Kluyveromyces lactis: one gene and its partners. The protein of the gene in region 1 purifies or fractionates together with the protein of each later gene. This does not show direct contact. Links are inferred from orthologs where the notes say so. Each region holds a gene or a part of one and is shown in the gene's direction. Other genes may lie near its edges. The genes, in order: COX13, RIP1 and TIM23.

Evidence for each region.
Region 2: the proteins of COX13 (region 1) and RIP1 purify together in Saccharomyces cerevisiae (affinity purification with mass spectrometry; 3 studies listed by BioGRID, with this or other methods). This does not show direct contact. The link is inferred for Kluyveromyces lactis from reciprocal best matches to the Saccharomyces cerevisiae genes COX13 and RIP1.
Region 3: the proteins of COX13 (region 1) and TIM23 purify together in Saccharomyces cerevisiae (affinity purification with mass spectrometry; 3 studies listed by BioGRID, with this or other methods). This does not show direct contact. The link is inferred for Kluyveromyces lactis from reciprocal best matches to the Saccharomyces cerevisiae genes COX13 and TIM23.

What each region holds. Positions count from the first base shown.
Region 1 is NC_006042.1:844,178-846,651, reverse strand, and holds COX13 (cytochrome c oxidase subunit VIa), read left to right. Parts: upstream 1-1,567; coding exon 1,568-1,951; downstream 1,952-2,474. Other genes in the region: IME4 (mRNA (N6-adenosine)-methyltransferase), read left to right, coding at 1-481. UniProt on the Saccharomyces cerevisiae protein: Component of the cytochrome c oxidase, the last enzyme in the mitochondrial electron transport chain which drives oxidative phosphorylation.
Region 2 is NC_006041.1:2,012,814-2,015,349, forward strand, and holds RIP1 (ubiquinol--cytochrome-c reductase catalytic subunit RIP1), read left to right. Parts: upstream 1-1,358; coding exon 1,359-2,000; downstream 2,001-2,536. Other genes in the region: putative E3 ubiquitin-protein ligase HUL4, read left to right, coding at 1-607. UniProt on the Saccharomyces cerevisiae protein: Component of the ubiquinol-cytochrome c oxidoreductase, a multisubunit transmembrane complex that is part of the mitochondrial electron transport chain which drives oxidative phosphorylation.
Region 3 is NC_006042.1:578,347-581,013, reverse strand, and holds TIM23 (protein transporter TIM23), read left to right. Parts: upstream 1-1,442; coding exon 1,443-2,102; downstream 2,103-2,667. Other genes in the region: KLLA0_F06061g (uncharacterized protein), read right to left, coding at 44-301. UniProt on the Saccharomyces cerevisiae protein: Essential component of the TIM23 complex, a complex that mediates the translocation of transit peptide-containing proteins across the mitochondrial inner membrane.

The sequences.
Region 1 (2,474 bases):
TCTCTTGCAGGAAGAAGGTTTATTGTTCTTGTGGGTAACCGGCCGTGCTATCGAAGTAGGGAAAGAATCATTGCAGAATTGGGGTTACGAAGTAATAAATGAAATATCTTGGATCAAGACAAACCAATTAGGAAGAACAATTGTGACAGGTAGAACTGGCCATTGGTTGAACCACAGTAAAGAGCATTTACTCGTCGGGGTCAAAGGCAATCCGGAATGGCTAAACAGAAAAATAGACATTGACTTGATCATTAGCGCAACTAGAGAAACCAGTAGAAAGCCGGACGAATTGTATGGAATCATTGAAAGACTTGTCGGTACACATGCCCGTAAACTTGAAATTTTCGGTAGGGACCATAACATCCGTCCTGGATGGTTCACGATAGGAAATCAAGTGACAGGCTCATCTATCCATGAAGTGGATGTGAAAAGGAAATACGAAAGATTCATGGAAAAATCAAAGAATTCAAAGACAAACTAAAGATGTAATACTCTCTTTACTTCAAATGTCCTAGCTTTTATTTGTCGATACACAGTATCCATTAGGAGTCTGTATGTGTTCCTTCTTACTTTTCTTCTTTTTTTTAATTTATGTCATACGCCCTTGTAATTACAAACGTTACATTACCCACAAGTTCGTGCTACACTTAAGCAGCAATAGGCAATCTTTTGATTTCCATAACCATGGCTGATCCTACGGGCGTTCTATTAGCCAACGCGCTTGTTTTTTGAATTCAATGCAACAAGCTCTCAGCTTAATCTAGCATTCTATATATTAGGAACGGTGTTTCTGTCCACTACACCAACCCCAGCCGGCAAGTCCCTGCAGCAGCTACTAGAATGACATGCGATGGCTCAGGTTTGCTAAAAACCCAAAATCAATTACCGCCAGGCCGTGAAACAAATATTGTTACCCGGACTTGAATTCCTGAACGTCAATATTACACTGTTTGTCAATATGTATAAAGAGATGCAACAGAAACAGAAAATAAAGTAGGAAGTACTTCTGAATCTGTTGCCAGTGTGAACGGTATCGTATGAGCTACTTGTGGGTTTGTAGTCCCGGCGAGACAGCAACACCATTTAAACAAGGAATAGGAACCTTTTATGCTCAGTGTCCATTACCAGAACTTAAGTCTCTCGTGACCAGCAACCAATCATTTTCATACCGTGTAATGTGATACCGAAATTACAACATCGAAAAAGCATGATCTTTGTCTAGTTTCTCCGTCGTGCCATTTTTGGTTTTTTATATGGAGTGGGATATGGAAATATCGCGAGAGAGATTGTGTTGATGCTAGAAAATTTTGGAGGTAGGAAAAAAAAAATTGTTTAATAGTTAGGAAAGTTCAAGTTATTAAAGCTACTCTTTCCATAATAGAAAAGGTTTTATTGGTAAGTCAAAGTACTTTTTTAAAAGAGATTTTTGTGATTAGTTTTCTTACTGTTTACAATTCATTTTACATTCATTTCGAGTTTGATATCTATTTAACGTCAACTGTGTTTGGTGAATTAATTCCATAAGGATATTCTGTTTCGAAAAGCCAGACCCTAGATATAATCAAAAATGTTCAAACAAGCCATTAGAAGAGCTTCTACTCTACCAAAGTATGCTTTGGAACCAGCTTTCGGTAAGCCAGATTTGGCTGCTGCCCAAGCTTACAAGGACTACATGAAGCACAGTACTGAGCACGCTAAGCAAACCTCTAACTTGTGGGTTAAGATCTCCATATTTGTTGCTGCTCCAGCTATTGCTCTGACCGCTGTCAACACCTACTTCGTTGAAGCTGAACACGCTGAGCACCGTGAACATTTGAAGCACGTTCCAGATGAAGAATGGCCAAGAGACTACGAATTCCAAAACTTAAGACAAAAGCCTTTCTTCTGGGGTGACGGTGACAAGACTTTGTTCTGGAACCCAGTCATTAACAGACACGTCTCTCACGATTAAACACAGTTCGATAAATGATCTCAACTTGTTGGGCTTTGGCCATTCATAATGAAATATCAAGATAGCCCCTGCCTGTGGGTTTTTTTATCTTTTAAAACACCTTTTATCAAATATCCTCAAATTATCTTCAAAAGAATTCAAACATCCGTTTAATCTGGCATTATACTTCAAAATACAACAAACATATGGATAAACTTTATAGTGGAGTTTCCACCATACAAATAATTATTATTTAACTCAAGAAGAATAAACACACTTTTTATCTTTATTGTAAATTCAGTCCTAGAAAAATAGAATAAAACACGTCACACTGTGTCAATGATCATAAGTAGATATAAGTTTCTTCATTATCAATATCTATTGTACTGAATCTGTGACAAGCAGTACATCAACTTCGATATGCTCAGCGTTATGGCAAACGTCTTTAGTAACTCAATACTTACTTTTTTTTCACGAATGATGAATACAAACTGACTTTACGTTCCAAAAACTTTAACTTTACATTGTTCCCCATTGTTAACCG
Region 2 (2,536 bases), on another chromosome or scaffold:
GTCGTTTGAGACCACGTATTACGATGTAGCCAGTGGTATCAACGTCACGAAACCGTTATGTGACGGAGGAGAATCAATCCCAGTAACCTCGGAGAATAAGACAGAGTTTGTTGAAAGGTGGGTAAATTTTTATATGAATGAGGGGGTCTCATCGAGTTTTAGTGCATTCCAATCCGGGTTTACAAGAGTCATCGGGGATGGTTTGGCTTTCCCGATGTTCAAAAGTTGTGAAGTAGAAAGGCTCATCTGTGGCAGCATAGAACAAGACATGGATTTCGAACAACTTCGCGCTGTGACGAAATACCAAGGCGGATTCCATAACCAAACCCCGGTAGTGGAATGGCTATGGGAAATACTACCACAATTATCCCATGAACAGCAACGTCAATTTCTCCATTTCGTGACTGGGAGTGACAGAGTTCCAGTGACGGGACTTGCGACGCTTCCGTTCAAGGTAACCCGCACAACGTCCGGATCACATGATCAGTTGCCCACTGCCCATACCTGTTTCAACGAACTCTGCTTGTACGAATATGAGTCACGTGATACTCTTCTTCTGCGATTGGTGACTGCCCTCGAAATGTATGAGGGTTATGGGTTTAAATAATGTCAGCAACAAACATACATTAATATAATCACTACAAACGAACCAATCATATCGTGAACCAGGCTTTACAGAAAAACCTGCTTCCCTTGAATAACCAGAAAACACAAGGAAATGGACACTTACAGCTACTATGTGAAAGCCGTTAAATGCGAAGCGTTTTACTGACACTAGGCCCAAAGGCCCTAGTGTCAGTTATCATTTCCACCAAGAAAATCTTCCTATACTTGACCATTTACGCAAATAAAATTGTATACTTGTAAATTGGAAAATAATAACCACACCAGGAAGTTCTGCCTCGTCCCAGCTCATTTACACTGTCCATTCCTGTCTGGTCGAATTATATCTTGTTTAATCCTTTAGCGCTTCTTACTATTGGCTTTTTTCCCAATCTGAAATTTTTCTTTGTTTTTTTTTTTTTTGCTTCCTTCCGCACTTATTAAGCTGCAATGGCTTCTGTTTAATATGGATAGAGATAATTTGATAATTTCTCTGAATAAAATAAAATAGAAAAAGATTTAGTACAATCATTTTATTATTACTTTCAGTTCCAACAACATTTTTGCATTGATATATATATTTTATAATCTGGCTTGGTGATTCATATCTGTGTATATATTTATTGATACTCCGAGAGTGCTTTGCTGTTGTGATTAAAGTCGATATCATAGAAACGATTTCTCCGAAATAAGAACGGGAAATTAGTACGAATAATACACTCTAGCGATATATCCATAACTAACTAATATCAAAAATGTTGGGTTTAAGAAACGGTTTGAAGACTGGTTTGAAGTCTGTTGCTCCAGCCAGATTAATTTCTACTTCTGCAGTTGCTGCCAAGTCTACTTACAGAACTCCAGATTTCGGAGACTATATCAAGGAGAATAACGATGCTGACAAAGGTCGTTCTTATGCTTACTTTATGGTTGGTTCTTTAGGTTTGTTGTCCTCTGCCGGTGCCAAATCCACCGTTGAAACTTTCATCGCTTCTATGTCTGCATCTGCAGATGTTTTGGCTATGGCTAAGGTCGAAGTCAACTTGGCTGCTATTCCAGAAGGTAAAAATGTCGTTGTGAAATGGCAAGGTAAGCCAGTTTTCATCAGACACAGAACCGACCATGAGATTCAAGAAGCTAACAGTGTTGATATGTCAGCTTTGAAGGATCCTCAAACTGATTCTGACAGAGTTCAAAAGCCAGAATGGTTAGTCATGTTGGGTATCTGTACTCATTTGGGTTGTGTTCCTATCGGTGAATCTGGTGATTTCGGTGGTTGGTTCTGTCCATGTCACGGTTCCCATTACGATATCTCCGGTAGAATCAGAAAGGGTCCAGCTCCATTGAACTTGGAAATCCCTCAATATGAATTCGATGGTGAAAACTTGATTGTCGGTTAAGCGCAGAAGGAAAGCTAAAAAAAGATTATATTATGTTGATAAATTGTTGAAATAGGCTACCTTTTTTTGCTATTTCTCAAATTTAACTCTCTTCCTTTTTCTCTTTCTCTTTGTCCTTCTCACTCCAGCTTTCACTAATAAAATTCTTTATTCCCATGTTGATGTCTCCTACTCCCCCCATGTATTTTCCAAGTAGGATTCACAACCAAGGTCAATATCTTTTATGCTAAAGTTTGTCATATTGGAATCGTGTAAGCTCGTTTTTTCACGTTCCATCATCACTACCCGATTTATTATTATTTATTCATACAAACATTTTTGAAACCACAACTACCCGTGCCCCCATAGCTCAAGCAAACTAAAAGGATAGCAAGCATGAAATGCTTTTGAAGCATTGTTCAATTGTATGTCATCACTTTTCCTTTTAACTGCACTGAGAAACAATCGCATTAATACCTGAATGACCACATCAGGCTACTACCGTGATTGAAACCCTTTTATTATATTCCAAAATCTTTGAAATAGTCCTGCTCTAC
Region 3 (2,667 bases), about 270 kb from region 1:
AGGGGTGAGCAGCTGTTGGAATGAAAATTTAGATTGATAGAAATCATTTCGCATTTTGTATTCCAGCTTCCTTAATTTTCTTCAATAGGAACTCGTCGTAACCGACTCTCATTTGGTTCACCTTCTTCAACTCGCAGTGGTGCAACTTCGTATCCTCTTTCTTAGTATTGTATAGATCAAATCCAAGCGTCACTGAGACTTCGGAGTCAATCTCCTCTAATATTCTGATCCATTTGTGTCGCAACAACACTTTTTCGGACTCGAACAAATCAAATTGGACTCTAGCACTACGTTCTGCCATTTTTTGTTTGTATTTCAATCACTGGGTGAAACTTTTCGTCATAAAGCGGGTTAACAGCTTGTGTTTTATCGTGTAATCACAGTGTAACAAATCATCAGAGAATGAAAATTGATGATTCTCTAAATTATTCATCGGAGTTTTTCTGAGGGGCAGACTGACATATGTTCCAGCGTCCTTTTCATGTAAAACTGCACTCTTTATATTAAATTTATGTTTATTCAAAAGTGTGAAGCCTTGAAATGCGTTAGTGCATGTATGCTACCTTAGTATCTGAAATGCTTTCACAAATTATCCCAGGCGATTTTAAAAAAAAACATTAGCGACAGTACATTGATATGAAAGGTTTATACGGATCCCTTTATATATATATACTGGTTTGAAAATGTATAATTTCAGAAAAGTCGTTTCCTAACAAATCCCCAATTTTCCTTTGTATTCTTTGTACGAATTTAAGGGCAATGCGCTCCTTTTTACAGATTTCTATCAATCTGCGTAGGTAAAGTTTCATCCAAAGATACCTCAGTTGATATCTGTTTGGAAACCCAGTGATAACTTTTGCAATGTCGTGTGAAATAACATTGTCTCATGGCGGGCGTCAGTTTTAAATATTTTTTTTGTCGCTAGAAATGCTAAATGAAATGACAAATTTTTTTCTCTCTGTTTACCCTTCGCTGCGCTCAAAACAGAGGTCAGCTACATCTGCAGAACGGTTCCGGTTACATGAATCATCATTTTGTACGATTCGTTGATTTTACCTTGAATGGTCTTGAAATCACAGAGTCTCTTGTGAAGCAAGAAGAAACAAGAGGAAGAAAAAAAAAACCGTAGTTCTTGAAATATTTTGAAATTTTGAAAAATTAGTGAAATATAATTTTACAATCGAAAAGTGTTTAAAGTAGTAGTATGATACGTTGAATCACCCTCGAAGGTTTGAGTTGTAGATACTAAGACAAAGACATCTTTTCCGTATTGGTATTTTGCTAGGTTACCATTGCATTTCAGTCTATCAAGGCAATACTCCGATAAATACAGGGCTTCATTATTGTCGAATACGGACCGGGTCTAATCTCTTCCTGATTTTTCATCCTTTGACCGATACCATATAAACTAAGGCTAATAATAATAATAATAAAGTATAGCTATGTCTTGGCTCTTCGGTGGTAAGAAGTCATCTACAGACTCACAAGAAAATACTACACCAGTTGAACAAAATGATGATAAACTGAAACAAACTCTAGGATTCGATCCATCATCAATTTCGAATGTGTCGAACGTTATTTCTGTTCCAGGAGGATTAAGTCCATCACAGCTTCACCCATTAGCAGGGCTAGAGCGTGGTGTTGAGTATATGGATTTGGAAGAAGAACAGCTTTCTTCAATGGAAGGTTCTCAAGGTTTGATTCCATCTAGAGGTTGGACAGACGATTTATGTTACGGTACTGGTGCTGTATACTTGGTTGGTTTAGGTCTTGGTGGTTCTTATGGGTTCATTGAAGGGTTGAAGAACATCCCACCTAACTCACCAGGTAAATTGCAATTGAATACAGTATTAAACCATATCACAAGAAGAGGTCCATTTTTGGGTAACAATGCTGGTGTGTTGGCCTTAACTTACAACTTGATCAACTCAGTGATCGATTCTTTCAGAGGTAAGCATGATGTTGCTGGCTCAGTGGCAGCTGGTGCTTTAACTGGTGCTATTTTCAGATCTTCTAGAGGATTGAAACCAATGGGTTACGCATCCGCTTTGATGGCTGCTGCTGCTGCAGGATGGTGCGGTATCAAGTCTGTAATCTTATAAGTTGAAAGAAAGAAAAGGATAAACCTGTGGATATATAAACACACGATAAACTTTTTTTTTCGTTTCCTTTCATTCTACACTACTATTACATTGGGTCTTAGAAATGGTTTGCATGAGGATCCTGTTTCAAATGTGAAATATGCCCCTAATGTCTCGTATTTACTGACCGCCCATTTCATCCAATTTTATCTTACGTTTGCATGTTGAATTCCCCTTTCGTATAATGTACAATATGATGACAATTTTAGCAAATTCATGCTATGTTCCACCACAGCACCATTCTCGCCATGCATGTTTTCCTACTCCATTACCATTTTCTACACCATTCTTGAGACTGTCGATATCTGAAATCAAGCATCAAAGAGTGAGCTAGAAATAAAGCAGCAGCTTGTTTAGAGATACATGGTCTTGTATATATTTTAATAAAGTCATCTTTCGTCAATATTTTTCTTTTCTATTATCTGCCTCTCCAGGCGGGCCTTGCTGGTACTCTAGCAATTATAACAAATTATAACAGCATTTGTGACGAACTTACAACGAAATGGTCTAACGAAGGAAGACACTT